Linked DNA regions of Struthio camelus. The protein of the gene in region 4 interacts with the protein of the main gene of each other region in a pairwise test. Links are inferred from orthologs where the notes say so. Each region holds a gene or a part of one and is shown on either strand. Other genes may lie near its edges. The genes, in order: FAM117B, ZMIZ2, POGZ and BANP.

Evidence for each region.
Region 1: the proteins of BANP (region 4) and FAM117B interact in binary tests that used the Homo sapiens proteins (3 or more experiments, as listed by UniProt). The two-hybrid records come from large-scale screens. The link is inferred for Struthio camelus from reciprocal best matches to the Homo sapiens genes BANP and FAM117B.
Region 2: the proteins of BANP (region 4) and ZMIZ2 interact in binary tests that used the Homo sapiens proteins (3 or more experiments, as listed by UniProt). The two-hybrid records come from large-scale screens. The link is inferred for Struthio camelus from reciprocal best matches to the Homo sapiens genes BANP and ZMIZ2.
Region 3: the proteins of BANP (region 4) and POGZ interact in binary tests that used the Homo sapiens proteins (3 or more experiments, as listed by UniProt). The two-hybrid records come from large-scale screens. The link is inferred for Struthio camelus from reciprocal best matches to the Homo sapiens genes BANP and POGZ.

The regions. Positions count from the first base shown.
Region 1 is NC_090947.1:9,794,434-9,802,060, forward strand, and holds the start of FAM117B (protein FAM117B), read right to left. Parts: upstream 3,090-7,627; 5' UTR 2,877-3,089; coding exon 2,243-2,876; intron 2,070-2,242; exon of another isoform or gene 1,977-2,069; intron 1,697-1,976; exon of another isoform or gene 1,578-1,696; coding exon of another isoform or gene 1,508-1,577; intron 1-1,507.
Region 2 is NC_090968.1:1,512,284-1,520,859, reverse strand, and holds the start of ZMIZ2 (zinc finger MIZ domain-containing protein 2), read right to left. Parts: upstream 3,301-8,576; 5' UTR 3,193-3,300; intron 137-3,192; 5' UTR 53-136; coding exon 3-52; intron 1-2. Other genes in the region: OGDH (2-oxoglutarate dehydrogenase complex component E1), read right to left, coding at 5,089-5,209, 5,362-5,516, 5,762-5,925, 7,664-7,736, 8,573-8,576. UniProt on the Homo sapiens protein: Increases ligand-dependent transcriptional activity of AR and other nuclear hormone receptors.
Region 3 is NC_090971.1:209,681-217,137, reverse strand, and holds the start of POGZ (pogo transposable element with ZNF domain), read right to left. Parts: upstream 3,407-7,457; 5' UTR 3,000-3,406; intron 1-2,999. UniProt on the Homo sapiens protein: Plays a role in mitotic cell cycle progression and is involved in kinetochore assembly and mitotic sister chromatid cohesion.
Region 4 is NC_090951.1:3,024,978-3,032,685, reverse strand, and holds the start of BANP (protein BANP), read left to right. Parts: upstream 1-4,515; 5' UTR 4,516-4,638; intron 4,639-7,708. UniProt on the Homo sapiens protein: Controls V(D)J recombination during T-cell development by repressing T-cell receptor (TCR) beta enhancer function. Binds to scaffold/matrix attachment region beta (S/MARbeta), an ATC-rich DNA sequence located upstream of the TCR beta enhancer.

The DNA.
Region 1 (7,627 bases), on a different chromosome or scaffold from region 4:
AACCACATAAGCAAAAATAAAGTTCCACTTCCACGTTCTCAGCTACCATTAAGTTTTCTCATCTATATGAAATAGAAATTAATCAACTCAATCTCTAAAAAACATTGGACTACATAGTATATATGTTAAACTGGCTTGATCTGCATTTTAATTCTGGGTCAGTACAAGTCCTGTTGAGAAATTTAAATGCATGGCAGCAGTTAAAAGGACACTATTCTTCTCTTTCCCATCTTGCAAAAAGCTAGTGGGGTTATCTGTTAACACAGCAGTGAAAAACAACTAGTTATCAAATTACTTTTTTCTTTATATATACTAATTCTTAGGTCCAGTAAAGAAGTCAGCTAGACAGTGTGGTTTTAACAGGTCTCTACGTGATGAGCCGAAGATAGTGTAATTTTTTCCCCCTTATAAGTGGTCTGACATGAACCTTCACAGCTTTTGAACCTGGATCTCAGGGTAGCCCATCCTGTTCCTCAATCTCCAGGCTAGCTAGGAGACTACCTTTTGGGGGAGAATTTCTACAAAGTTCTAGGAACAAAGATGAGTTTTGTGATGTGTATAAAGTCTTTCAGATTACTAATTAACAAGAATCTCAGATGAAGAATATACACATTCCTCAATCTAAAGCCTCAGAACATGACCTTAAGCAAAACACATCACCCTTATCTGGAAAGCTGAAGATCTAAATCAGAACCTGAATGCCTTTGTGGCCTTCTCTCTTACATTTCAGCGAAACGGACATATGGTAATCTCAAAGAGGTATGTCTGAATAAAAAAAAAAAAAGAAAAAAGAAAAAAGAAAAATTAAGCCACACAGGCATTACCTTAAGTACTGTACCAGTTTGTTATGACTCTCTAATTTGGTAGCATCATTTCTCGAGAGTTAGGCTAGATAAAAACTATATTCTGGCTGCAATCACAATTTTAGAAGGAGGGGGAGAGGCAACAATTAGGATTAGTGGAAAAGTTAATGGGAATTGCGCTGGTCCTGGATTTCTGAATATACACCTCTGCCTATTATTCAACTTTGTCTAAGTACCCAGTGCAATTTCATGACAAAATACCAGCTGGAGCTTTGTTATCTTTAAAGTCACTGATTTTCCAGATTTGAGGACAATAACACAAGCCCTCATTCATGCGCTTTTGAGTAAACTTTTATCTTAAGACCAAGGATTTACATATGTAAGCCTAGCATCCTCAACCAGATGCCGCACATTGCTTACGTTTCAGTGTCCCTCAGTGAGTATGTTTTCATTATTCAAAAGCAGTAAAAAGCAGTTTGCTACAAAACATATACCATTCTCGCACTATTTTCTATCTTTGCTGTAGCGCAAGCCTGTCATCACTCTCAAGTTCACACATCCTTCTGCAGGGTTTATGCTGCAAGTAACTACTAAGAGAGAGGCACTGAAGACTTTTTTTCCTACGTACATGTGTAATGCCTACAGTGCTAGTTAGTTTTTTCAATTACAGGCTTGTGGACGTTACTTGGATCAAAAACACATACCATCTGGCATCAGAGGCACAGAAAGGGAAGATGTGAAGGCTACCCTACAGTTTCCAAACACCAAATTCATCTTAACGTTGGAGTGAAGTATTTGAAGTTCATCTCTTCTCTTCTTACACCCTTTATCCTCTCATCTGGCAACCTTTAGCAGTACTCGCGAAAACACCGCGGGACTGGCTGCACTCCTCCTCACATGACACGCTTTACTTCTTTTTCTGTCCCTTTTCCCGAGAGCCAGGAAGGGAAAGAACAGTAATACAACCAGTGAGCCCTTGGACACGTAAACACCCGACAAGCGCTGCAGCCAGGATCTAAAACCGGTACAAGCCTGGGCACAACTCCTGTCCCAACCTTCCTCTCTTCCTCCAGAAATACCGCGTGCTCTTAGCCACACCACCAACCCCCACAGGCCAACGGCTGCCACCGCCAACCCCCAGCCCTCCCGCCCCCACGAAGACCAGGCTGCAATCACAAACCCACGCACGGCCACGCCGAGCTCTCCCCCGCCGCCGCCGGGACGGGGACGGCGCCCGCCCCGCGCCCCTCCCCCGGCTCCCCTCAGGTATCCCCCGCGCGCCCCCTCAGGCTCCTCGCGCCGTTAACGGTCGCGCCGCGCGGCCCCCAACGTTCCCCCCGCCCGTAACGGTCGCGCCGCCGGTAACGGCCGCTCGGCAGCAGGTGCGCGGGGGGAAGGCGGGAGGGGGGGTGGGCAGACACGCTGACGGCAGCGCTCACCTTTACAGACGGGCGAGCTGGGGCTCTTCCTCTCCGGGGAGCTCCTGCCTTGCTCCGGCGAGCGTCGCCGATGCCGGACCCTGCCCGCGGCTGTAGCGCTACCCTCCGGCAGCGGAGGCCCCGGGGAAGAGCAAGGTGAGGGCCCGCAGCCCGGTGGCGGTGGAGGCGGCGACGGCGGCGGGGGGGGAGGTGGCGGCAGTTGGTGGGGCCGCGGGGGGCTCCCCCGCGCCCCGCCCGCGCGCGTGGGGCTGCCCCGCGAGGAGGCGGCGGCGGCGCTGCCCCCTCCACCCCCCGGCGTCTGCGTGGCCACGGCGGGGCCGGTGCGCACGCCGTTGCCGCCGCCGGCGGGCGCCGCGCGCGTGGGGCTGATGCTGCGCGAGGCGGGCGCCGCGCGTGGGTGACCCCCGCCCGGGGCGCTGGCGCCGCCGCCGCCCCCGCCGCTCCTCGTGGGGCTGCCATGTTGCTGCAGCTGCTGCTGCTGCTGCTGCTTGAGCTGGAAGGGCACCGTGGCCCGCATGGGCTGCAGGCGGCCGCTCGCTCCTGCTCCGCCGCCGCCCGCCGCCGCGGGCCCCCCTCCCCCCAAGGAGATAGCCGGGGTCGGGGAGCCGTTGCGCCTCACGCGCTGATGGGACATTGTCCGCCGGGACGCGGAGGACCGTCGGTGGCGAGGAAGGAAGGGAAAGGCGTGAGGTGCAGGCAGGTCCTCGCGGGGATCCAGGCGCCTCACGCGATCCCTTCCCCTCCTCCTCCTCCTCGCCGGCGGCGCTGCTCCCGCCGCCGCTGTGCCCAGCCCGGGGCGACCCGCGCTGCCTCCGGCCGCTCCGTGCGCCTCATCAACAATAGTGCCCCGGCCGCCCGCCCCGCCCCCCGCGCCCGCCCATTGGGCACGCCGCGGCTCCGCTCGCGCAGCTACGGCGCGCCCATTGGCTGCCGAGCGCGCTCCTGAGTGGCCGAGCCTGCGCGGCGACGGGGGACCGGGGTGGCGGGGGGGCAGCTCTTAAAGGAGCACGAGGCCGCCGGGCGGGGGCCGCCCCTCGGCCAGCCACACGTGCCGGGCGCGGGCCCCGCGGCGGGGCGGCCGGACCCACCCCCCCCCCGCCCGGTCTCGTGCTCGCGCGGCAGCTCCTGCCCCGGGAGCGCCCCGGCCGAGGCTGTGGGTGATGCCCGCTCCCCCCACGGGGCTAAGGAGAACCATCCACGATCGTCGTCTCTAAAGGCAAAGCAGACATAGGAAGTAACGGGGGGGGGGGTTGTTCTGCGAGAGCTCGCATCTTCGCATAGCGCTGCACAGCAGGGCCTGGTGAGTTGTCCAAGGTCACGCGGGAAGTCTGTAACCCGGCAGGGAAAGGCATTTACGGCTTACCCGTATCCCAAGAGCCTGTCCCAAGGAAGCAGTTGTACGTGAGAAGTAGGGCTGCTCAATTATTTTTAGCTCTAAATGCAATAGAAGAGAGGACGAGGGCTCAGGAGCAATTTATCCAATCGCTTTGCTGCCAGCTTAGCATTACTAATGATGGCCCCAGATATGTGGGTAATATCCAGGCAGATTTGACCCCCTTTTCCTTTAATTGCTGTGTTTACTGTTCTCCATTAGATTCTTTGCTCACACATCTTCGCTGCAATCTTTTAAAAGTACTTGTTAACTGCAATCAGCCTTTTAACCTGATTTATACATTAGAGAATTGAATAAATACATTTAATAGGGCATAGTTTATGAATTTGCGTTAGTTAGATGCAAGGTAAATGCCATTTAGCACTTTTAACACAAGAAGGAATCAGTAAATTCTCTCTCTCCCCTTTTGGCAAATGCCAGTTCTGTGCTACTGAAGAGGACTTTCTTTACCCAAGTTCTTTTCAGTATTGGCCTGCAAACTGCATGTTGCAATTGAATACCACTGGTGTGATACAAATGATGTGACAGCAAGTTACATATTGTTCTTGCTTGTCTTCGGCTTGTTTTTGTCTTTTTCCCCTTTTCTCCCTTGCTGTTTCTGATTGAAGCTTCCCTTACTGAAAAAGCCCTCTCTTCCCCTTTGACGAGCTTCATCCTCACAGCTGACAGTTTTAACAGTCCTGAAGGGCAAGATTATATGCACAACAGGATGCCTGGACACAGGGCTACCTAAGGCCTTGAAGATTAAAGCTCTTGTCAGACTCAAAAGCTTTTCTTAATGAGAAATCAGACTGGCCACAGGGGACAGTATCGATGTGTTTCTGCTGACCAAGTAATTTAGCTCTTGCATTCTGCACTGACTGAATTTCTTTTGAAGGACACTGGTCCTTCAAGAACGTGCTCACAGGTACTGTTAATCGTAGTAATCTGGCCTGCAGGACAGAGACATGGATCAACATCACAGTTGGCTACAAGGCTGTGCCTTTACCTGGGGAATTGTCCTGGACTACCCTTGAAAATGGCTATGTCAGGGAAAGGCACCAGAAGCCTGGCTGATCACCATCAGTCCTGTTTTACTCCTTCTTAAACTATGCACCTTACGTAAAAAATCACTCTATAAATCACACACGTAGGGTCACTTCACAGCTTTGTTCTTGTAGCCGTCACAAGTACTGCAGGTGGAATGTGGCAACGCATCATAATCATGGATAAAGCGCTTAATTAGTGAAACATCAGGGAAACAGTGCTGTCCTCACCAGGAATGGCTAAGAGACAGAGAAAAGTATGGGCTACGTGTTGTTGGCATTGGAGGTAAAGGGATCACATAATTCCCTCAGTGACTCTATGTATGTATTGCAAAGAGAATCTGCGCCTCATAATGCTCCACAGTTAAATGCCCTGGAGGTAGCAAAAGAGCACCTTGGCATGTTCTGGAGAAATAAATGGAAGCTATTTGCTGCTTTTTTGGCAGCCCAGGACAATGCTTGGTCCCACTAATGATCAGTGGTGTCCTCCTATGTTACAGGCTGATCAAGGAGTATGAACATGATTATCCTCGCTCCTCCAGGCCTGAAAGGTTGTTGCCACTGCAAGAAGTCTGGAGAGTGCAAAAGGACCTATGCAACATTTCTTTCACTTCTTTTGTTGCAATTTTCAATCTGGGCCAAAAGGTGAAATCCCCTTTACAGTTCCTTCTGGTGTGACCTAAGGAGTAGCACTTGCTGCCAGTGCCAGTACAGTTGCTCAGCAGGTTTTTATTGTGTAGATAGTTTATCCTCTCCAGAAATACTGGATTTGTTTGGAAGCAGTGTCCAGTAAAGATATTTTTAAGGCATAAAAAGATCTCAACAACTTCTAATTCCTTTTGAAGAGGCCAGAAGATAAAAGGTATTGATTCATATTTATGTACATGATGAACTTTTGCCAAGTCACAACTTTGAGTGCACAAGATATGTACAACAATTATAGTACTTCCTACATTACTGTCACAGTGCAAAAATGGCACTGCTCCACACAGTTGTTTTGAATATAAAGTAAAGCCTTTAGGAATGCTGCTCACAAGCACTTAAATATTGCTCTACATGCATTAGGCCTGAGTGAAAGTGCAGCGTGTTAAGTCATGTACTCAGACCTAATCAAACAGTGTGTACTTCATGCGTTAATTTGTATAAACTGTAACAAATGTGTTACAACAGGATCTTACTCCTACACCCTATGGAAATAATAGAAACAACTAAAGCAGCATTATGAATTACTTCAAAATAGTTTGAAAGATTTGTTTAAGTTAAACAAAAAACAAAGCAACAAACCCAGCCCACAGTAACTTGGATACAGAACCTCCTCCCCCCACCAGACCTTCCCTGTGGTTACATCTGCCAAGATTTGTGTTCTGTTTCAGCCATCGCTCCCTTACTGCACGTGAACATTAACAAATGGTGTCCGGGCCAACTGTGGACAATACATTTCGTACAGTTTCATGTGGACCCTTTAAACTGTGGCTTCTTCACGGCAGTGACTGTCTTGTTCTGCCCATAACACCTAATGTAGGGATGCCAACAATGATCCAAAAAAATAGTAATGAAAATTATCATCTTCCCCAAGGCTTTGAGCCTTCTACCGGTATCAGTGGAATGAACCTTTTAGATGATCAAATCCACTGGAGTCACTCGTGATCCCACATACATGGGATCCATCTCTGGCTTCAGCTTCTCTCTACCTCATTTTTTTCATCAACCCATTGGTTTACACGATCTCAGCAAATATGAGTATGCTCACACACCAAACTCAAGTGCCACCTCCTGAGAGGTAATGAACACTCTTACCTCCCACCAACTTGGAGGCAATCGGCACCTAACCAGAAACGTTTAATAATGTCTAGTTAGTAGCCATTGTTGGGAGATTAAATTTAGGTATTGCAGGCATCCTGTTAGATGCATTTTTTTTATAAGCATAGCATCCGATACAAGCTGAAGATACAAACAAATCCATCCAGATGTTAGAAGCGTGTCAAAAGTGTCCTCAAAGGCAGATAGATAAAAAACACAGAGCTGCATAAACAGATTTGAAACCTTCTGAAAATAGGAACATAAACAAGTCAAGGAAGTGGTCAAAACAGTAACCCTGAAGGAAAAACAGAGAAACAAAGGTCAAAGGGGTTTAACTAAGTTCGTAAGCCCAAATCCCAGTGTACTGATTATCAAAACAAGTAATACTTCAGGAAGTTCTCTCAGACTAAGGACTGAAAGTTTATGAGTAGAACTTCCCACAGAGTAATATGCATGAAAAATACGTTGTGTTTAAAATAATAGTAATGAGCAAACCTTATGAAAAAATGACAGTGCTCAAGGCAACTTCAACTATGTTCTTGGCTTATTGCATAAATAAATACATGCAGAGCAGTGCCTATAAAGCAGCACTCTGCTGTCTGAAATTGTTTACCTGTAGTTGTTGTAAGTAATATTGAAGGTTGAAAGATTAAAATTCTGTGAGTCCAAACAGTAGATTATGCCCCAGGTATTTGACTGCACTTCCTGTCTCTCCCCTGCAGACTGAGTTAGTTTTACTTGTTTATGTGGGTGTTAACACAAGCAGATGAAAAAGACATTTAAAAAAAAATAGGACGAATGTAATAGAATTTGCTTCATTCAAAAGCTGTAATAGCGTCAGCCTAGCTAATTTTTCAGAATTTCGGGGGGGGATTTGGGGAGGCCAGCAGATTAAAATAAGGTATTGAAGTTGAAACAGTGCAAATAACAAATGGGGCCTTGGACATAAATCAAGCTATATACAATAAGCAACTTAAAGCAAAATGCACCTTTGCCTCAGTTTATGCAGTTACAATCTTTAAGAAAAGTTATCATATAAATAATATCCTGAAGCTTCAGTCTCTCACTGTCATTAAGCTAATGCCTCTTTAACAAACCCTGTTCCTTAATGCAACCCTGCAGGCTTGGGAGATGTTTTCACTGCACATCCATGACGCACAAAATTAC
Region 2 (8,576 bases), on a different chromosome or scaffold from region 4:
ACCCGTGCGGCGTGGGCGGCAGGGACGGTTTCATGGGGTTCATGGAGCTCATCGGCGGCGGGCAGGCGCGGCGGGCGCAGGCTGGGCCTTCTGTGGCCGCGGCGGGCGCAGCGCCGGCGGGACGGTGTCACCGGGGCTGCGGGACGCGGCGGGGCGTTAGCAGGGGGCATGGGTGGGGGGGAAAGGGACGGCGGCGGTGGGGGGGAGGGAGCCACGCGTGGTGTCTCTGCCCCCCAGCTCCCGGCGGTGCCCTTCCCCGTGGCACAGCGTGAACCCAGGCATCCGGGCGGCCCCCCCCCGCCGCCGACACCGCGGCGTCCCCGCGCGAGGACTTGGCGTCCTGCCTGGCCCTGGCACGGGGACGGCCCCGCCACGCGCCCGCCCATTTCCGCCAGCCCCACGGGGCACGTGGCCCCCCGAAACGCCCCCGCTCCAAACCCTCGCGGTGCAGCAGGCGCCACGGGGCTGCTCTGCCCCGCGCGCCCGTCGCCCCGCACCGTCCCTCCGAAAATCCCGCGCCGGGCGCCACGCGTGCCGGCGCCGTGGCATTTCCCCGGCGCCCACGCGGCCGGAGGAAACCGCAGAGGGACTTTCCGCGCCAGCTCGGGCGAGACGCCAGCGGCAGGGACGCAGCCGAGGGCGAGACGCGGCCCCCACGGCCACCAGGCTTCGTCCCCCTGCCCACGGCGCTTGCCCCGGGGTATTTCCAGCCTGGCGCGGTGGCACCGCACTAGCCCGGGCGCTTTCAGTTCCCTCTGGACCCCGCGCCGTGACGTCGCGGCCGCAGCCACCACGAGGACGGAGCCACGGGCCGGGCCCACCCCAGCACCCAGCGCCATCTCCCGTTCGCTGCCCTGACGAGGGTGGGAGATCCCCGGGGCACCGGCCTCGCCGCCGAAGCCCGGGTCCCCCATGCCGGCTGGGGTTCCCACGGGTGCTGCGGCACCCGCCGCCCTGGCCTCGGGTGCCCTCGCAGCCCCGGCCACGGACCGAGCGTTATGCAAGTCCAGGGTGGAGGCGCCCAGGGCCTGTCCCCATTTCCCCAGTGTCCAACCCGCGCTGGTGCTGAGCACCCCTGGGTGCTGCACCCGCAGGGTGCCACGGACCCACCCCAGAGGGTGCCAGGTCCAGTGGCCGCTTCGGGCTGGTGACAGTCACAGCACGGAGGGGGCTTGGCCGTGGTGCCACTCGGGGCTCAGCGGGCGCCTGGCCGTGGCACAGGGAGGGGGACGAGGCCACGGGATGCCCCGTGGGTGACCCAAGGGGGAGGCCGTGCGCTGGGTGAGGTGCTGTGGTGGCACGAGCCACCCAGGGAAGGGACAGGGGCATCGGTCCTGTCCCAAAACCGGTTCCAGGTCCCCGAGGGTTGTGGGCACAGTGACACCAATGGGACAGGAGTCCCCCCCCCCGTCCCAGGTCCCCAAGAGACACAGGCACAGTGGCACTGCTGTGACAGGAGGCCCCTTGCCCCAGGTCCCCGAGGGCCATGGGCACGGTGACCCTGCTGTGACAGGAGCTCCCCCATCCTGGCTCCCCGAGGGTCGTGGGCACAGTGCCACTGCCGTGACAGGAGCCCCCTGTCCTGTGTCCCCAAGGGCCATGGTGGCACTGCCGTGACAGGAGGCCCCCGTCCCGTGTCCCCAAGGGCTGTGGGTTTGGTGACACCACGGTGACAGGAGCCCCCCGTCCCATGTCCCCAACGGCCGTGGGCACGGTGGCACCGCCGTGACAGGAGCCCCCCATCCCGGGTCCCCAAGGGCTGTGGGATTGGTGGCACCACCGTGACAGGAGCCCCCCATCCTGGGTCCCCGAGGGTTGTGGGGACGGTGGCACCGTGGTGACAGGAGCCCCCTGACCCAGATCCCTGAGGGCCATGGGCATGGTGGCACTGCCGTGACAGGAGCCCCCGTCCTGGGTCCCGAAGGGCCATGGGCACGGTGGCACCGCTGTGACAGGAGCCCCCCCATCGCATGTCCCCAAGGGCCGTGGGCACAGTGCCACCGCGGTGACAGGAGCCCCCACGACCCGAGGGTCGTGGTCATGGTGGCACCGTGATGACAAGAGCCCCCTGACCCAGGTCCCCAAGGGCTGTGGGCACAGTAGCACCACTGGGACAGGAGTCCCCCCCATCCCGTGTCCCCAAGGGCCGTGGGCATGGTGGCATCACCATGACAGGAGGCCCCCATCGCATGTCCCCGAGGGTCGTGGGCACGGTGGCACCGCTGTGACAGGAGCCCCCCCATCGCATGTCCCCGAGGCTCGTGGGCACGGTGGCACCGCCGTGACAGGAGCCCCCCGACCCAGATCCCTGAGGGCCATGGGCACGGTGGCACCGCCGTGACAGGAGCCCCCCGACCCAGATCCCTGAGGGCCATGGGCACGGTGGCACCGCTGTGACAGGAGCCCCCCCATCACATGTCCCCAAGGGCCGTGGGCACAGTGCCACCGCGGTGACAGGAGCCCCCCTGTCCCGGGTCCCCAAGGGCTGTGGGCACGGTGGCACCGCGGTGACAGGAGCCCCCCCATCGCATGTCCCCGAGGGTCGTGGGCACAGTGGCACCGCCGTGACAGGAGCCCCCCTCATCCCCAGTTCCCGAGGGTCGTGGGCACAGTGGCACCGCCGTGACAGGAGCCCCCCGCCCCGGCTCCCCGAGGGCCTCGGCCATGGTGGCACCGCCGTGACAGGAGCCCCCCGCCCCGGCTCCCCGAGGGCCTCGGCCATGGTGGCACCGCCGTGACAGGAGCCCCCCGCCCCGGCTCCCCGAGGGCCTCGGCCATGGTGGCACCGCCGTGACAGGAGCCCCCCGCCCCGGCTCCCCGAGGGGCGCAGCGGCACCGCGGTCGCAGCAGCCCCGGGTGCCCGAGGGCCGTGGGCCGCCCCGTGACAGGAGCCCCGGCCCAGATCCCGGTGACACCCCCGCGCCGGGGTCCCCAAGGCCCGGCGACACCCCGCGACGGCCCCCCCCACCCCCCCGCCGCGGCGGGAGCCCCGAGGCCGGCGAGGCGCCCGCAGCCGCGGAAAGCCCCGGCCGCGCCGCCCCCGCCCCGGCCCCGGCCCCGGCCCCGGCCGCCCCCCGCCGCGTCGCCATGGCAACCGCCCTCCCGCCGCCGCGAGGAGCGGGGCGGGGGGGAGGGGAGGGGAGGGGGCGCGGGGCGCTGCCGGCCGCGGCCCCCGGCGCTGCCCGCACTCACCGTCGCGAGCGGCCCAAAATGGCCCTGGCGGCGCCGTGCCCGCGCGGCTGCGCGGAAGCTGCGCGGGATTTTCAGCCCGCGCGCGGCCCCGGCTCCATGGTGGTGGTGGTGCGGCGGCGGCGGCGGCGGCGGCGGGGCGAGCGCAGCCGGCCGGGCTGGGCCGGGCCGAGCCGAGCCGGGTCGAGCCGAGCCGAGCCGGGCCGAGCCGAGCCGAGCCGAGCCCGCGCCGTGCCCGCGCCGCCGCGCGCCGCGCACAATGGAGCCGCGAGCTCATCAGTATGCAGGGGCGGGCCGCGGCCCCCCCCGCCCACCCTCCCCCCCCCGCGCAGCGGCGGCGGCGGCGGCGGCAGCGGCGGCAGGCGCGGGCAGCCGAGCGCCGAGCGCGCGAGCGGCGCGCGCGGGGCGGGTGACGCGCGCGTGACGGGGTTGGGGGGGGGAGGTTGTGCGTGCGGGGGGGGGGGGGTGAGGGGCTGCGAGTGCGCCTGCGCGGGTCTGTGTGTGTGTGTGATGACCGCGGCGGCGGGCGGGCGCGCGGGGGGCGCGTGTGCGCGCGCACCCGACGGGTTGCGCGCGCGTGACTGCGTGAGGGGTGCTGCGCGCGCGGCCGTGAGGCGAACGGCGGCGCGCGACTGCCTGTGGGGCGGTGCGCGACGCTGTGGGCGAGGCTGGGTGGGGTTGTGTGTGTGTGTGTGTGTGGCTATGGGGTTGTGACTGCGTGTGACAGCGGGGGGGGGTGAGACAGTGTGCCTGCCTGCGGGGCTGTGACAATCTGACTGTGTGTGTGACTGTGAGGGACTGTGCGCGCCTGGGGTTGTGTACGTAACTATGGGACAGCATGCGCGAGGGGTTGTGTGTGCGCCTGACACTACCTGCAAGGGGTTGTGTGACAGTGTGAGGGGTTGCATGTGTACACGTGTGACTGACAGGGCTTGTGGGGTGTATGTGACCATGCGCCAGTGTAACAGACTGTATGCCTGTGCATGTAAGTTGTGTGCGCACAGCCAGCGCGTGTATGTGACAGCGTGACCGAGAGGTGTTGCGTGCTTGACTGCGAAGCGCGTGTGTAAGACCAGGGGGTGGTTGTGCAGGCGAGAGGTTGCGTTGCCAGCGTGACAGCGCGCGAGGGCGTGCTGGCGCGCCTGGCCGTTGGCAGGTGCGGGACAGGTTGTGCGTGCGCGCCTGTGCGCGCACACGCGTGTCACACGTGCACACCCCACCCTGGCGCGCCGGGGGTCGCGGCCGCGCCGCAGGAAGGAAGCCGGCAGGGAGGGCCCGGCCAGGACGTGACTCAGCCCGGGGGGAGCCGCCGCTCGGCCCTTCCGGCAGGGACCCCACGGCGGCACCCCGAGGGGCCGGGCGCCCGCCCGGGACAGGCGCGCTCGGCCCAGAAGCGAGGTGCTCCGCGCGCCCCGAGCTGGCAGGGGGTGGCAGGAGAGCAGAGGCCACCGCCCGGCTCCCTCCTCCTCCGAGCCGGGGAGTTTCTCTGTTTTTAAGTCAGCCCAGAGACCAGCACGGGCAGCGCAGCACCGGCCCGACTGGGACAAACGGGGCCCAGCGCTGGGTTCCTCTCCCCAGGGCGAAGTCGAACAAAGCCCGGCGCTCCCGGGGAAGGGAGCCGAGGGTCGCAGCCCCCCCGACGCGCGGGGATGCAGCCCGTAACCCCTCTGCCTCCGGCGGGGCCGCCGTGGGGCTGCGGCGGAGCCCGCGGGAGAGGCGAACCACGCCAAGCTCGCTGCCGACGGGGCCCAGCGCAAGGCAAGGCGCCGGCGGGATGGACAAGGACTCCAGGCGCCGGCGTTTAGTTTACAAGGTCTGTAGTTAAGGACGGAGACAGGAGGCGAGCGAGAGACAGACAGACAGAGAGCCGAGAGCATGCTGCAGCGGCCGCGCGGCGGCTTAGGCCAGGTCCTTGAAGGCGTCCAGGTTGAAGGCTGTGTCGAGGAGCCGCTGCAGCTCGGTCAAGTGGGTCTTCTTGTTGCCGGTGGCGGGGGCAGCGGCGGGCTCTCGCCCCGCGTACCTGCGGCGGCGAAGGGAAGTGGGGTCAGGGACACGTCGCGAGGCCTTGGCGCCTTGAGACGCCGAGGGAGGGCTGCGGCGTAGGCGCCTCGGCCAAAGCGGGGCCCAGCCGGCACCCGCCGCGGCAGCGGGGCCTCGGCCCCTGCTCCTTACCACACGGGCTTGGCCCGGTTGATGGTGGTGCGGAGACGGGGTTTCACGTAGTCGTAATAGCCCTGGTTTTTGTGCTCCTCCTGGCACCAGACCAGCTCGGCGTTGGGGTACTTCTGCGCTTCCTTCTGGAGGAGGTCGAAGGGGAACGGAGACAACTGCGGGAGGGGAGAGCCGTCACCGGGACAGAGCCGAGGGGAAACGACCCGCTTCCCGCGCCCCGTCAAGCCACGTGCTTGGCACAGGCGGAGCCGCAGGACAGCGAGACGGCACGTCCCCAGGCCCTGCTGTCCCAGCGCACGGGCTGGATCCCCTCGGACCCTGCTTTTCGGTGAGAGAGCCAACGCCGGCCTTCAGGGCGGCAGAGGGCAATTCCGTGCACCGTACCGGGGGCCTCGCTCACCTGCTCCACCCTGGTGATGGCCACGTCGGCCTCCATCTGCCGGGCCTTGCGCTCCCGGGTCAGGTCGTAGTACACCTTGCCGGTGCAGAACAGCACCCGCTTGACATTCTCGGGGCTCTGGGCCGCAGGGCCGCTATCGGGGATGACACGGAGGAAGTTGGTGCCTGCAAAGAGACAAGACGCCACCGTTAACAGCGGCACCGACCTCAGATCGACACCGTGGTGCGTCGGGAGCCGCCTTCACCCGTGTGCGACGTCTCCCAGGGAGGCGCAACGTGCTTTGTGCCGTTCCTGTGTTGCATTCCTGTCCCTGACCCCAACTGCACCCCCGCCCGCTGCACAGAGCGACAGGCTGTTCCCCGGGACAGGACCACAATACCTGGGGCCGGCTGACACCACCGCAGAGAGAGTTAACTCCCAGGAATGACAAACCTGGGTTGGGTTGTGACCCTTCTGCCTGCTCTTCTGCTGGCAGGCAGTGACAATGAGCGTTCCCAGGGCAAACAGGGTGTAGTTCATTAAGGGAGGCCCCGGGAAGTCTGTGAAACAAGGTGGCTCAACCAGAAATAAGAAAGGAGAACATCAGGCAGGAATGTGGGGAGGAGCCCGGCCAGCTGCTTATCTCAGAGGGCTGGAAAAGCAGCTCTGGCCGCTGCTGGGAGAGGTGCAGCCCGCCTTCCAGGGACACCAGCACACACTGGAAGGTGGCACCTTGCCCCGGCAGGGCCTGCTCCTCTCAGGATGGGACAAAATACCTGCTCATGCCAGTTAGATGCTATTAGCATGCCTGCAGAAGATGACCCTAAACCACCCTGGTTTTGCCCCATCCCTAGTGACCAAGTCTGGACCTGGACTTAGCCACAGTGCAACTCGTGGGCAGCCTGTCTAAGCCCCACTGAGAGCACCGGGCCAGCAGAGAGGAGCTTGCTCTCGTCCCTGCAGCGTGGGGAGGATACGAGTCTACGCAGACAAACCACAGCGGAAGGGACAGGGCGCAACCTTCAGCTGGGCAAGGCCAGAAAAAGGCTGGGAGCACCCAGCCTTCGGTGCCGAATACAAGCCCTCGAGAGGACGCAGGGCGTGGGGTTGTCAAACCCCGTCCGCGCAGCTCTGGCAGGAAGTGACTGCCGACAGAGGAAGCGACGCGGCAAAGCGCCCGGGAAGCTGAGCCACCTGTCTTCCTCGCCGCAGAGGAAGCCCGGTGCTCCTAGGGGCTCAGGAGACGCTGGAAATGCTGGTGTGCGGTTGCCCTAAGAGCCGTGTACTGGCCTGGCAAGTGACAGGCAGAGCCACCAGCCCCAGGGTGCCAGACAGAGCGCTAATAATGGGTGGCTCCAATCTGCTCAGTAGCCGGCTGCAGCCTGGCACGCCCTGACCTCCGTTCGTTCGGGTGAACATATTGCCTCTGCTGAAGAGAGAGAGGAGCAGGCAGACGTCCCTGGAGCAGGGAGGAAAGCAGCCTTCGTGCCACGCTAGCTGAGCCTCCTCCTACACGGGAGAGCTCGGCCCCATCCTAGCGCAGAGCTACTTGTCTGCCGTGCCCAGGCACCAGCGCGAAGCTTCGCGAGGATGCAAATCCTCCGTGGGACGCAAGCCTCAGCACTGGGCTGCCTTAGCAGGACCTCCCCAGGGAAGCGGTTTGCCGGCACGCACCAGCCCAGAGACGGGCTCCGGCACGCACAGGTTCGCTGTGGCAAGGCAGACCCCAGCTTCTGGAAGAGCGAGCCTTGCTCAGCAGCTCTGGTGCAAAATCCGCTCTTCAGCGCGAAACCCCGGCCAAGAGCGGCGAGGGGAGGCTGCTGCTGCTGCCAGGCGGACTTTACACCAAGCTAGCTCCTGCCCTTCACCCTTCGTCCTGCAGAGCCGAGCGCGGGGAAACAAACACCTCCGGGCTTCTCGTACCTGGCAGCATGTCATCGAAGCTGGAGCGAGCTTCAGGGTGGCGCAGCAGTGACTTTGGAGTGAAGATTATGAGCTGGAGGGGGAGGAGAAGAGGCAAAGCAAGCCAGTCAGCCATGCCAGAAACACCTCCCCTGCAAACGAACACCGGAGCATAGACCTGCCTGTCCTGCCTGCCCTCTCCAACCTCTGAACGCAGGAGCAGCCATTGAGAGGTTTGCTCCTTGCTCGGCTGCTGTGCTGCAAGATTCAGCGCCAGCCTCCAACACCTCCTGCTTTCCCGGTCTGCGTTTCCCCTGGGGAAGAGGCTGAAGCGCTGCCAGAGACCTGCCTCCCCCGCGTGGATGCGGCCGGATCGCTGGGAGGTGGAACACAAGTGGCTGGACTGGATTATTTATCAATGCCTCCCAGCCCTGATGTCTCTGATCTACCTAAGGATCGCAGAGACCCCAGCCTGCAAGAACCAGCTAGCAGGATGTCACGTACCGAGGCAGCCCACGCAACAAGGGGTCCTCGGTCCTTGCTGGCCCAGACCTGGGCTAACTGCTCGCTTAGCCCTAGGGGTATGGGATGACATGCAGGGTCACAAGAGCAGACAGGCTGCTCTGTTTTCCCAAGGACATGAGTGTTTTTAAACCCACATCAGTCGGGAGCGTGTTCCTCTCTGCTGGGAGCAATCCTGCAGCCCAGAGAGCAGCACCCATCATTTGCTGGGTTCCCCGCTTTTTGCTCCTGGGTCCGTTTCACTGTTCTGCGCATGTTTGCTGACAAGGTGCAAAAGCAGGCCCGCTCTAAATCCTGTCCCCAGGCTCGGCGCAGACCCAGGGCCTCCCTGCCTTGGCTTTGACCTGGACTAAGCGAAGCAGAACGGCAGAGGCAGGCCTAGCTGAGAGCGGGCCCGCTGGCACTGACCGGT
Region 3 (7,457 bases), on a different chromosome or scaffold from region 4:
CTTACTTTTATGAATGTGCAAGCTCAACTGAACTGCTGTCTTGTTTCTTATTTTTTCACTTAGTTTTGATTATATGCACTTAAAGGCAAGGCAGGTATCTTAACTTTTTAAGAACTAAAAAGCCTAATGAGGTTTTGTTAAATGTGAATGCAAATTAATCCTATGATGAAGGCTTCTGCTGTCAAGACATGCTGCAGTCCCTTCTTTGAAAAAAGGATAATGCTCTTCCGTGGCTGTAATGACTAACTGGTACAGTTTAAAACTGATAAAAATCTAACTGATGAAAATACATATTGGATGATGATTTCATTATTGTTTATATGGCTATTCATCATCAGCAACATCTCTGATAGAAGAGGGTAGGTAAAAAGAACTATGCAAGTTGAATGCCAGAATTGAACAGTTATATCCTTCAGGCGACGGTAAATTTATTTTTGTTGACTGATGTGGTTGACTTGACTTTGCTGGCTACTGAAATTATTTTAAAAGGCTTATTAAACTTTCTATGAATACTATCATCTTAAGTCTTATATGTCTTATTAAAGGCTTTGAAGTGTGCAATGCCTACTAATTAAAATGTATTATTATTACACACCCAATTATCATGATTATTATCTACCTTCATGTTTGAATTGCAGAACAATAAAAATGTACTGCTTTCCGATATTTGCCTCTGCAGACTGGCTTAACACTTTGGCACCTTTTGTGACCCTAGGACTACCCATAAGCTGCAAGCCTGTGCTTCTAGAGTCCAAGAGCATGCCTATAGCTATGTTTGTGCAACTGGCTCTTTTGTGAGTAGACACTATACAGCACTCTACTAATTTCAATCTGGACACAGGCTCTACTTGCATGAAGACAGTTGTACCTTCTGTGACAGTATCTAAGCAGCTGTGGGGATCACGCATACTAACAATGTAACCATATATAACCATAAACACAAGACCAACCACAAGTAACACTTGCAGAACCCTACCCGCAGCTAGAGCTTAAAGTAGCAAGGCAGAGGAAGTTCTTTGGGTGGGAAGATCCACTGGACAATTTTACCTATGTTAATAATCCACTGGACAATTTTACGTATGTTAATAATTCTACAATAGAAAAAAAGATGCGCATACAGTAAGCTAGACCTTACATTCAAAGATAAAATTTAACATCTGACAACCTCAAACTACTATACTGTATACACTGAGATCTAGGAAAGAGAGGATGCAATTTGTATATCCTTGCAAAGTATTTCCTAAAAGAAGCAACAGATTCCCCTTCCTCTACCCCCCACTTCCAATCACTCACTTGTGCCCCATTTGGCATGTCTTGGTGACAGCTGCAACTGCTGCCAAGTTAATAAAAATAAAGCTGTGTGTGTTGTCATGTGTTGCATGTTTTCTGCAAGGGTTTTGGGCAGCAGAATTCATGCCTCTCCCACATCTCCACACGTTTTATGTCACAGCATAGACAAGGGGAAGAAGAAAGGATGGCCTAATAGCAGCAGTCTAGGTTTCCCACATACTAGGGAGAGCAGTAGCATGGTAAGGACCAGGTAAAAGGAAGCAAATGCATTGAGCAGTAGCATGGTAAGGACCAGGTAAAAGGAAGCAAATGCATTGATGATACCAAACATCTAATTTTTAATACCTGTAGCCTGAGGAATCAGCTATGGGGTGTTTCCATACAGTCTTTCAGTGGACCAAATCTTTTGAGAAATGCAGGAGCCCACTAAACTGACTCCCCGACCCGGCACACCAAACTGTGTTACTATAGCCTAGCAAGAGGCCAGGCAAGCAGGTAGATCAAGGCATGCTGCTGACCAGGGAAAAAGTGCTGGCCAAGGGCAGCAAGGAATCCAAGATTTCAAGTACAGCAAGCAAGTACAGTACAAGGACCTGCAGCCTAACGCCAAACAAAAACAAAAAACAAACCTCCCCCTCTTTACATACTTAGAAGCTGATGTGCTTGGGAAGAGCCTTTTCCACTGGACACTGGGGACAAGGTGAAGAAGTAACTAACAGTCTAAAGAAGGCATGCTTGTGGGAAGGGGGGGAGGGGTCCAACACTGATGTGGTGGCACCTGTCTTGTCCTGAGGACAGGAAAGATGACACTGAAGGCACAGGTGAGCAACAAGTCAAGCAGTTCCTGTTCCTGAGCGGTCAGCTCCTGCGGAGAGGGTTATTAGGCAGGCAAACCCAGATCCCCTCAGCCAGGAAGGTAATGGAGCGGTGGAGAACAGGCAGGCCAAAAAGGGGTTCTCTCACCCTCCAGAGTAGACAGAGACTATCCTCACTGCTAACTTCCCTTAAGAAAGGCAGAAAGGACATTTATCCACAGGAAGAAAGCAAAACCCGTCCTCAGTTTATTGTGGCTGCTAAGAAAGAGAGAGAAAAATAATCCCTGTGCCCAACATGGCCGCCCACCCAGCACCAGCCGCGGGAAAGGTGGGGGGGGAGGTAAGATAGGGAGGATGCAGCCGTCCCCTCCCCCGGCGGGGGGGGGAGTGGGGGCCCTGTGTGAGCCGGGAAAAGGCACCGCTCGGCGCCGAGGTGTTTTGTTTGCGCGGTGGGGGGGGGGGGGGGAGCGCGAAGGGGAGGGGGGGAAGCGGAGGGAGCCACCAAGGCCGCTTCACCGCCTCCCCCCCTCCAGGAGGGTGCGGGGAGGGGTGCGCGGATCACTCCGCCTCCCCCAGCCCGGGCGGGCGAGCGGCGGCATTCCGCCGCCCAGCGGGAGCCGCGGCGGCTCCTCCCCCTCCTCCGCCTCGGCAGCCCCGAGCCCTCCCTCCCGCCGCCGCGGCGCTCGCGCTCCCTCCTCCCCGCCGCCAGCGTCTCGCGGCCGCTTTGTGTACGGCGCGCTGGCCCCGCCGCCGCCGCCCCCCCAGCAGCTCCCCCCTCCCCCAGACCCGGGCGGTTCGAACCGGTTCCAACGGTCACCGACCGCCACCCGCGCGGCCCCCTGCCCTCCTCCCGCCGCCCTCCCGCCCCCACATAACGGACTGGCGCCAACTCACCTTCCTCGCTCGCTCCCTCTTTCTGCCGCCGCCGCCTCCTCCGCCGAGGCTGCTCGCACACGCTCTTAAAGTGACACACACACGCCCCCCCGCACGGCGCCGCTTTCAGGGCGAAGCGAGAGGCAGGGGAGGGCAGGTGGCATGAGCTCCCCAACCCCCCCTCCCCGCGGGAACCTCTATTGTGATGATGCTGAGGAGGATTATTAATTTCTCTCTTCTATATATATTTTTTTTTTCGCGAAGGGGGCGACTCCCCGCTTTTCTCCCCCCCCCGCTCTGTCAGAAGGAAAAAAAAAGAGCCCTGCGGGCTGATACACACAAGAAGGCACCCACAGACACACACACACACACACATACACACACATACACACACACACAAAAAAAGGGGACCTGGCCGGCGGAGGGATACGGTGACGTCATTTCCTCCTGGGCCCCGGGGCGGCGGGCGGATTGGCGCGCGGCGGGATGACGTCACCGGGAGGCCGGCGCACCCTAGCCTGCCCCTGGCCAAGTTTGCGTGAGGCGCAAAGGCGGCGGGGCGGGCTCGGCTCCCCCTCCCCTCCCTCCCCTCCCTCCCCTCCCTCCCCGCCCCGCCCCGCCCCGCCCCGCCGGCGGCCGCCGCTGCCCCTGCGCCCCCGCGCCCCCGCCCCCGGGGAGCCGCCGCCGCCGCCGCCGCCGCCGCCGCGCGGGGCGCCTCGGGGCCCGGGCTTCCCCCGCGCCGAGGCCTTGCCCCGAGGCCCGCGTGGCGCGCCCTGCCCCGCCGGCGACGCCTGGCCTCCGTGCTGCCGGGCGGGCGCCCGCGGCGGGGCTGCCTGCGGCGGCCCCCAGGCCTGGCCGGCGCCCCCGGCGCCCGACCGCCTCCCGGGGCCGCCGCCGGAGCCTGGGGAGCTCAGCTGCGTGTAGGCAGGCTCCGGGGCAGGTGCCCTCGCGGGCCCTCAGGCCCTCGCGCCTTCCTTGGCTGCGCTCAGCCCCGCTGCGGTTGCTGGCCTTCAGCTAGCCCGATGGTGACGGCTCGCCGTAGGCGCAGCGACAACCAGGTGGTTCATGTTATGATTAGGACTGAAAGTTACAATGCAGAGTTTTATTTTGGTGGTTTTGGTGTGGCCAAGAGTCAAGCCAGCCTAGTAGCTGTCTTGGGAAAGATGGGAAGAGCTGCTGATGTGGTTACAGGGCTGAAACCCATCGGCCGCAAAGGGTAACTGGTTCAGTGGCTGGTGGCGTTGCTGGGATTCAGCTCCGTAGCATGGCTAGTAATGCCTCTCAGGTGGCTGGGTCTCAAAACAACCACCTCCAGAAGATAACTCTCAGTGGTTAGAGATGTCCAGGGCCCACAAAATTTGAGGCCTTTTTGATAGAAAGTAGAGATAAATAGTTGCATAGCCCTTCAAAAAAACTCAGTCACATCAAAAGTTGGCAGTGATTTCATCCCTCAGTGACAGCCTCAAGGAGGAGACAAAGGATTAAATTGTCATAAACTTCTACAGCTTCTGTAGAGATTGCAAGGAAGTCAGAACTGAGGCGCGTAGATATAGCAGTACAGACCAACCTTAGGAGCTGTCCACAGAGATAAAAAGGCTTTGCTTAAGTGGATACTTAAACCCGTACCTAACTTTAAGTATATAAACAATCCAAATATAATCAAAGCAACTATGTAAATGCTTAAAATTATGCATTTGCTTAAGTACCTTGCTGGATCAGTGCCATGTAAGTGTCCTGGGCTGTCAAGCCAACAGATAAAATCAGTGACTGTGTTTCTCCCTAACATAAATTTAAATGGTTTATATCCTTAGTAATAAACATATTATTGTGAATAATTTAGTAATGCTAGGACATACAGCTTTTAACTGCGTTCAGTACAGGCAGAATATTGAAGAGAATATGGTGAGGATAATTGAAGAGAATTGAGAATAATGTGTGGTTAGTATTAATAGTTAACGTATTTAACAAAAATACGTGTATAGATTTTAGAATTCTTTTAACCTGTTTTCAACATCCTTGAAATGTTAGCTTATTCATTCTTGAAAAAACTATTTAGGAATTTGGTAGGTAGTATATTTCCCAAATGGACCCCCTTGCTGTGATATCCATGTGTTGCTAGAATGTGATTTATTATTCTGCAGTTCATTAAGCAAGCACATTAATTTTCTTCTGTTGCTCTTCATGAGTTACCAGTCATTCTTCCTAGTTTGTACAGTACACCAGGCAACTTCACGTCATACTGAAGGGGGGAAGCATTTTCATTTAACTGTGTGTCATCTCTAAATCATATATATATATATATATATATATATATATGTATGTATATGTATATATATATGCAACATGAAGGGCCACATTCTCTTCTGTGGTTATGCCACTGATAATAATAACAAATACTATTATCAGTAGTTATACATTTGTATTCCTGACTGCACTTTGGAGCCTCTGCCTTGGATGAAGTATTATTTAATTATTTCATATAGTACTAGCAACTTTCACTGGCTTTTTCCAAAAATGTCATCTGGAGACAGAAGCTATGCATAAAAAGTAATTTTTCATTGAATAAAAAGGAAAACAGCCACTAATACTGGCATTGCTAGTGATGGAAAAAGTTAGTTTGTAATCGGAATTCCGATGTCAATAGCAACTAGGATTTACTGATGAAGTTTTACAGTACTGACTGATGAATAATGTTTGTGTTCACCAATGAAAATATCACTTACTGATCCCAAATTTGATTTCTTCCATGTAAATGCAATATTTCTTATACCTAAAGTGAAAAAAAGAATTGACCATGGTGATTTTGTCTTTATCCAGTGTGTGTACTGCAGATACCAAATTCAAATGAAATTAATGACAGAATGTAGCTGTTTTAAATCATGTCAGAACTGATGAGTTTTTTTGTTTTTCATTCACAAGTGGAACAGAAGGAAAGTTCTCTATTTGGGGGAGTACAATAAAATGAGATTTTTTCATTTGCTGTTGAAATGCATAAATTCACTAGGACAGTTAGACAGGAGTCTGATATTCTTGCTCCAAAAAGAAAGTTCCTTTTTATTTAGGAAAAAATTATTAGTTACATATATTTTACAGTATATAGGTGAACATTTGCATTTCATCCAATAAATAGCAACTGTACCTGCACCCTGGACATTTTACTAGATTTGCTGCACTACAGGTGCTTACATTGATGATCTGCAGCTAAAAAGAAAAAAATCTTGAAGTGCAAAGAAAGTAAATATCTGTGGGAAAAAAAAAACTATTTTCCTTACTACTCATTCACAAGAAAAACCGACTGTGTTTAGGTCAGCATCCATGAACCAATCTAAGTATGATGGTAAAGCAGGTCCAGATATGCATCCCAACATAATCCTTACACGTTTTCCTAATGTAATTTAAATTTTAGTAAAAAGTTTGATTGACACAGGAAAACTCAGTTGATAAATTACATATCTCAAAGAGAGTAAATTAGAATATTTTGTTTTGCTTCTGCAGGTTGCCAGTGTTTTGGACGTTTGCTGTGTAAGGCTTTTGCCAGGGGTCTAAGATTATAACCACCTGCAGCCTCCTTGGTGTCAAAGCAAAAAGTCAAAAGGTTTCACAATATGGTATTAGAATAGCTGAGAAACTCTTTGCAAGGATGTACTTTAGCTCTGAAAGTGGAACGAGATGTAGACATTTTCCAATTCTTAACTATATTCAGAAAAATTTAGTGCGGGGCTGGCCAGAAGAACAAATAAAGATATCAAGGGAGCATAAATTTCCACTCGAATATGTTTGAAAGAAACAAATGTTGAGAATGCAACTTACAATATGAAAACAAAATTTTATATATAATATATATTTAATATATAGTGTGTGTGTATGTACATGTTTTATATATATATGAGACTTCTTTTTTTCTTGTGGCAGATAGGTTGAGCCACATATGTGAAGGCAGACAGATGCTTATGCAGTGAGTCATGCTGGTGGCCCAAAACACTCGAGCTTACTACTTAATTGTCAAATTGTCAAATTTTCTCTGATTTTTTCAATTCATTTGTCTGCACTTCAAGTGTAGGACGTTTCATTGTTTCCTTTTGGTTACAGAACTGTCTTTCCATTTCACTTATACCACTGTATTCAAACTTAAATTTAAGGTTTAATTATTATTCCTTAGATCTGAAAGTTTAAAGCATCCACATGTTTTAACTTACATATAAAGTTTTGAACTTTTCTTTTTTCTCAAAAAAAAATTGAAATAAATGTCTCTAGATCTTCCTAAAATGCTTTTACCAATCTCCCCTGGAAACATCCATGAAGCAGAAATCAAGTGTGGTGTTTTATTTCAAAAGACTGGATGTGGGGAATCCTCCATTAAATATTTTTCCTTAATATTTTGCACAAATGGGTCACTGTGATGCCTGAGGATACCTATTAATTAGTTCCATGTTCAATTTAATTCTTAAATACATTGTTTCTCATGCATATTGGCAAGGT
Region 4 (7,708 bases):
CTGTGTAGGAGGGAAGAGTGACTTCCCTTTACGTGCTGGCCACGCTCTTGCTAACGTAGCCCAGTACGCGGTTAACCTTCATCACTGCAGAGGTGCGTCGCTGATGCGTGTTCCGCTTGTCCAGCAGGATCTGTAGGGCTTTGCTCCAGAGCTTTTCTCCCTAGGCAGTCAGGCTCTAGGTTGTACTGATGCATGGAGTTATACCACCAGCCCAAGTGCAGGACTTTGCATTTGTCTGTGTTACACTTCATGAGGTTCCAGCTGACCTAGCTCGTCCGAACTGCTCTGAATGGCAGCCCTACCTTCCAGCCTATCAGCAAATCTGGTGTTATATGCAAATGTGCAGAGGAGACAGTTTGTCATTCTGGTCACTGATGAATATTTGTATTTAGTTAATTTTACCTCTCACACCTGAATTAATTGGGTTATACTGCAAATAATTTTGAACATGTGTCTAGATGAATGCAGGTCCAGGATTAAGAGATGGCCAAATTCTGCTTAGAATGATAGCATTAATGGTATGTTGATGCTATATAACATTTTGTGTCTAGATTTCTAAAAAGAAAAAAAAAAACTATATGAATGTGAGGACTACACACGGAATGAAAAGGCAGTTCTCAGGCAATCCAGTTTAAAGAAAAGGATAAAATCCATTATCATCACTAACTGTGATGAACTCCACTTCAGGTTTTTCATAATCTCAGTGAATTAAAAAGGACTGAAAATGAGAACGGTACCTCACCAACTAAATATGGGCTATGGCAAGCCTCAGCTTAGCTGGGCAAACTAAAAAATACTGGGCAAAGATACCAGCTGTGTATCAGAGGGAAAAGGCCAGCGGAAGCAGTGGTGAGTGCGGTCCTCGGAAGATCACAGCAGGGCAAAGTGCAAATGCAGAACTTGTTGGAATGGCAGATTTCTGAGAAGGGGAATAGCCTCCTATCGTTTCCCCCCACTCCGAGGTATTCAGGGAAGTGGAACAGTATGTAAATAAATAAGAGAACATTGAGGTCATACCTGACCCTTCTCACCTTCTTTCTCAGTCTATCAAAAATTACCTTACAAGACCCTGAATTTTGACCAGCTGGGTAGGCCAAATATGTAACAATGTTTTTCTTTCTGCTGAGGGAATTCAAGGCCCCCTTCTATCCTCATTCATGCAAATCAGGAGTATCTTCACTGAAATAAATGGGGTTTACTCGGCGTAAAACAGAATTGAGATCTATGGGAAAGAAAATTATTCCTACAGAGTTCCTATGGCGAATACTCTGGAGTTACTCCTATGCCCTGATCACATCTGTTTTCTTCATGCCTTTGTTTCTATATTCACATGCTCAGCAGTGAATATAATCATGAATGCCTGTCACTTGTTTAAACAAATGCTTTGTTTGGCAAGCTTTGTTTTCCTGCTGCTGCTGCAGCTGCAAATTTGTGTGCACAGTGTGTTAATTTTTTACCTTTGATGCTATGGTAAGTTTTTTATCTAACAACAAAAATGAGGAAAGCAATGAATGAGATACCAATCTCTTGTGATCCATACAAAACATGTGAAAGCAGCAACTCCCTTGGGAAACAATAGTAAATGAATGCGGATACAAAGGTAAAATAAGATAGATATTTCCTGGGACCAAATGATTCTTCATAACACAACAGAGAAAAGTTAGCACATATTTAAAACGCGAGAGAGAAATACTAAAAAATGAGGATGAAAAAGGAGAAAAAGTAAAACAAATAAAATATTTTGCTATCCAGTTTGGGACGACAAACCAACAGGGCAACAGCATGTATTTTCTTTTATAAAATTAAAAAATAAAATTGATATATTAGCACCCTGAAGTACTATTCATTTTTCTAAGGAGGAAAAGAACAAGAATGGATTCGACCCCAACCACATCGGTGCTTGGAAAAGTTACCATGGGTTAAGCCACAATATACCTTAGCGTGTATCAGCTTCTCCTTGGTGCTTGCTCACGTGCAGTCTCTTAGACCATGGTAAAGTGAAGAGCTCATTCGCTAACGGGGGACCCACAATGAATTTCCTGACATTTATTGCACAAATATTCAGGTAAGCACATTCCTGAAAGCTCGTAGAGCTTAGGGGTTTTTGCAGAGCAAAGGAAACACTTGATTATGTGTCAGTACCCTAAATTAAAGACTAGGAGGCAAATTTGGCCCTTGTGATTTAAGCATAGAGGAGGTCTCCATTGTTAGGCTGTGAACGGAGGAAGATCCCCTTTATTCTACCATTTACCAGTATTTCCCATCAGACTTTCTGCTATGTGAAAAGTATGTCATACTTGGCTGTGTGACTCTCAAGGGGAACAAGGGACAAGCTGTGATAGCGGAGTCAGGAGGTAATGTCTTCATGATTATTGGTGTAATTCAAAATTTTAAAAGGGAATTCCCCCAGCCTTGTAAGAAATGATAGAAAAATATCTAAAATAATATATCTGGAAAACTCTTAAATAAGTGAATGGTATATTCCAGACTACTGCAATTCTCAGAATAGACTGAGTTACCAGCAGGAGGTAATGCTTTACCCTCTCTTAGTGTTAAACTGCTGCGTTGCTTTTTATGTTGCCATCTCTCATCAATGATGTAGAGATTAGCTGGGTCTTGCCAGTATGTCCTGGAGTTACTATGACCACTGAAGGTCCATATTACAACTGGTTCATGACGGTTTTCTGTTTTGTGTTGTTTTACCTGAGAAGTGATTTGCTGGCTGTACCGAGAGGATTGGAAGCTCACAGCCTCAGCAGGACATGAACTAATAATCTCTGGGAGGGAATTTCCTGATGAGAAAGCAGGGCAGCTTCTGCACTGGATTAGGATTATGATGGCAAAGGCTTTTACCAGCAACTTTCCACAGCAGATAGTGCACTGACGTTTATATCATTGTTTTCCTAGCTGGGATCTGGCAACTGCTTGAGTGCAAGCAGAAACCGTTTGCCAAATGTGTTACAGGGCAAATCTGTGCAGCAAGGCGTGAATAACCCTGTGCAAAAAGTCATTTTATAAGTAGTTTAACCTATGAACTTGCTAATCTGCTTGTGAAGGAAGAGAACACCGTAAATTAATCCATGGGTTCAGCTGAACAGTTGCAAATCTGGAAGCAGAAGCAAGGGTTTTCCTAAAGGGCCAGTTGTGAATTCCCAGGCTCGTGACAACTTTTGAATATTAAAAGCACCAGTTTGAGAAGTCACTACTAGCAGTTTCCAAAAAAGGCACTGTGCGTGTGCCACCGTCAACGTATGTTTCCTTGCACGAAACAGAAGACCCCTTCAGTACTGCTCTTTGACCCTCTCCATAACTTCCAGACAGATCAGCAGGAAGAACTGCTGGTTCCCTGGGGTCTGAAACGCTCTAGACACTGGAGCTGCTGTGACACGTGCAGTTTACTTTCATGCACTGACACCTCGGGTTTGAACGTGACAGAGTTACAGCACCTGAGAACCGCGTTTCAAACCACGAGCCCGCCAGCTGCGGCATCAACACCCAGCTGTTTAGCTGTAGGTCTGTAGGTGTCGGGATTGGCAGTTACTTCCGAACCGGAATGGATTTAATCACATACCATGACAGCGCAGGGCTGAATCACGCTTCGCGTTTGCGGAACGTTTTTTATGCAGAAGTCTGAAAATCACCATTGGCTGGGCTGAGGCTGAAAAATGAAGTCCGATGACGCTCCCGCTTGGGCCACAGTGCGGTATATGAGGATACAGTACTATAATCTTAAGTGTTTGTGTTCTTTCAGGCAAACACTCCTTTTCAGCTTCTCTCAGAACTACCTTCAATCTTCCTCCATGCTCTCTTTTCATGCTTTTGCATATTTTTGTCGTTCCCAGAAGGTTTCCAGAAGGTTTTCCACCTTCTCCCAGTCATTCTGTTCTCATACCAAATGCAGGAATGAAAAGCAACAGAAAAAGCAGTCTGGTAAGCTAATTTAGCCAATTCCCCCCCCCCCCCCCTTGCTGCCTGTTCTTCAGCTGTGTACTGAGCGTGGTGACATCTCTCTTCTTAATATGACAGCTCCCATTCAGATCATCTCATTTCAGGGATGCAAGCGCTCAAGGTCCCTTAGCGGAGGGAGAAATTTAATAAAAGGACTTGAGAAAGGAGTAGGAAAAAGCAACGCGCCAGCCAGAGCAAGGAGTTGTTGAGTCTGCCCTCAGGCTTGCCTCCCACAGTTGTGTCAGGGCCGGGTTGGCGCCTCAGGAGGGTGAAACAGGGCGAATGAGGGAGAAAGAGGGAGGTAGGTGTTGAGGGGTTTGGGGGCATTGAGTGTGTGCGTGTGTGGGGGGGAGTTTGTATGTGGCGCATCCGTGTGGTGCGGACTACAACTCCCAGCGTGCACAGCCTCCGGCGCGTGTACTACAGGTCCCGGCCTGCTCGGCGGGGGCGGGGGCGAAGGGCCGGCGCGCTGCCCTCCGGGAGTTGTAGTCTGGGCCGGCAGCGCGGCGGTGAAGGGCGGCTGCCCGGCCGCTTCTCCCTTGCGCGTGCGCGGGCGCTCGGGGCGGGCGGGGGCCGAGCGGGAGCAGCGCGGCGGCGCCTGCGCGCTGCGGAGAGGGAGATCTCTCGCGAGGAAGGACGCCATTATCGCAGCCGCTCGACAAACACCACGAGAATTCGGCACCGCACACGGTAACCGCGGCGCCCCGCCGCCGGACGGCTGGGGCTGAGCTCCCGGGGGGCCTCACGCCGGGCTTACGGCGCCGGCCCTCGCAGCCTCCCCTCTCCTCACAGCGCCGGCCGAGCTCCCGCCGCCGTAAGGCGGCGGCTGCGGGGAGGGGCCGAGGCGGCGGCGGGGGAGGGGGGGGGCCGCGGGCCTCCGCCCCCCCCCTCCGCCGGGCGGGGCGCGGGGTGGGGGGGGGCGGCCGGGCTCTCGCCTCCTCCCGCCGCGGGACGCCGCCGCCGCCCGGCCCTCCTCGGGGGCTGCTCCTCGTCGCCTCGCCCCCCCGCCCGCCTTCTCGGGCCTGGGGAGAGAAGGGGAGCCCCCCCCCCCCCCCGCCAGGCTGGGGCGCCTCAGTCCTGGCGCCCCTCGCTGCCCAGCGCCGCGAGTGGGGGGGGGGGGAGGGGGGCTCGGCTGCTCCCCGGCAGCGCCGCCGGGCACCGTGCCCTCTCCCCCCGTCTGCCCGAGGCTTGTGTTTCCTCCTTTCTGAAGGACGGGGCAGGTCTGAGCCGCTTTCCCTCTCTGGGGGTGGCGCACACGCGGCGCTGCGGACAGGGGTTTTTGGGTGTCGCCGCGCGCCCTCCTCCCCCCGTCGTGATAGACGGTGAATAAGCGGTGACAGCGGCGCTGCCTCTGCCCCTTCGTCGTGCCGAGGGGTCTGCGGCTGTGCTCGCGCCTGCTGGGGGGGGAGAGGCGCAGTTCTCTCTGCGTGGTCATCGGGTCATAGCAGGGGCTTTTCACATCCGTATCTGGGGTGATGTTTTCCAGTGTTCTCACGGTAGCGACCTGTCTGACAACGCACTCCCAGTTATCTCTCTCTCTCTCTCTTCCCTTTTGTTCTTATTTCTAATTCGAATAGTGCATTTTTTAATTTTTCTTTTTTTTTTTCCTTTTTTTTAAAATCCTAGTTGAGTGGGAAGTTGTGCACTTAACCAAATATAGTAGCTTTATTCTGCTGTGGGTCATGCAGTTTATGTACCAATTTATTTTTAGTGCTCTCAAGGGAAGAATTTTTTTTTTTTTTAAGGAAACAAGCTTGGAGGGATATTATCAACCAAGTGATGATGCCAGTTGAAGTAACTTTCAGATTGTTGTAAAATGATAGTTTGGAGGGATTTTTGCTACTTTTTTGTTTTTTAATTCACTTATATGTGAGTTTACCTTAAATGTAGTACCCTATTGGTGTCAGTCTTTCAAGCAGCAAACATAAAACTTGTCTGTAGAATCTCAAATACTCAGGCAAGATCTGAAAAAAAACCCTTATCTTAAGCGTTAGTTCATTAGTAGTGTCTCTTGAAACAATGGATTTATTCTGTTAGAAGGTATTTATATATGCCAAATGAATATCCCAAGAAATCTTAACAGAATAACAAATTGATTTGGAAACTGTATGAGCCCTACTGTGTACACTAAATGATATCTTGGCTTTAGTTCACTTTTCAATAAGACATGAAAAGATGGTAAGAAGAAAGACTAATTTATTAAGAAGGGTAAAAGATTGAATTTGGACTTTAGAAGCATTAACATTCTCTCTGATTCAGAGGATGAGAATATTTTGTAACTTTTCTTTGTTTTGTAATTCATCATCTGACTTATTAGAACTGTAACTCGCTTTAATGTCTTAATTATCTAGCTGTGTTAAAGTTGTGTGGTTACAGGGCAGATCTTAAAATTTAAGACTTTTAAAGGAGTAATTGAGTAACAATGTCAGAAGTGCAGCAGTAGTACAGCGAGCAGTAACAGTATACAATTCTCAACAGTCAGGATTCCACCAGCACGTGTTTTGCTAAAGAAGTTTTACAAAGGTTTGTTTCTTGCATGTGGCGCTGTTCTTGGCGCAACGCAAGGTATATGTTTTATACTGTCAGGTGAAGAAAGCTGAGCTACGCCTAGCTCCTTGTAACCAGAAGTGATACTTAGAGGTTTACCTTGATTCTGCAAAGAGCAGTGCTCTGGCGTGGGGCTCAGACCCACATGAATTACATTAATATACTCACGTTTGCAAGGATTTTAGATTGTCTCTGCTCTTCGTCTTGAACTTTTTCCTGAACTTCTTAAGTTGATTCGCAGCTTATGCAGGAAGAATACACATCTCTGTTTTTTCACAATTTGCATGTCTGCATATCTTTCACTGAAGAATGACTTGAATTGAAATTCCTGTGATGCTCTTTCTAAAGTAATTGAAGGCTCATTCGTTTTAAGAGGAAGATGGGCATTTGTCTTTGTGTACAGAAGCTCTGGTCCCAGAGATCTACAGAATTTGTTTATGTGAATTGAACAGAACAGCAAAAGAGCTACTTGTAGTAGGAGACGATGCAAATCGAATGATTAGAATTAGAAGAACAAAATGTCTATGTATACTGAACTTCTCCAATAAAATTCTTTTCATGGATTTGATTTCCTTTAGTTTGGAACATGGTATTTAGCTGTTAACTATTGAAGTAATTTAATTTGTTTTCTGTTTTTTTTTTTTCTTTTTACGTTTTCATTGAAAAGCTAAACGTATTCTTTTTTTTAAGTAAAAATAAAAGAATAAAATGTCTTTCGAAGTCATGTCAAATATTTGTTTCATTGCAGTTTTAGGATTTTAAAGCTCCTATATGGTAGGCTTAACTGAGCACTTAATATTAGACTGCATGTTAAGGCATTAAGCGAAAGTGCACAAAAAAGGTTAACTTCTTAAAATCCTTTGCATATAGAAACTTTAAATAAAGTAATTTTCAGAGATGTCACCTGTTGGGCAAAATTCTTTTATCTTGGTTCATATTTCTAAAACCCTAACTTAGACCACTTAAGGGAAAAATACAGTAAGTTCAGTTTTTCCTCTGGAAATTGGAGCATCGTTATCTTGTGATGAAAAAAGAATGCATCTCTTCTATCCATTATGGGAATTGGTAGAAACTATAAAGAAAAACAGCCCCTCTCTTTCCCTTCTCTGCATACACACACAGACATCTGTGGTATTTGCTTATCTGTCTCTAGCTTCCTATCAATATGTATACTCTTTAAGTTTAAAGCTAGAATTACCTTATTTTTTTCCTG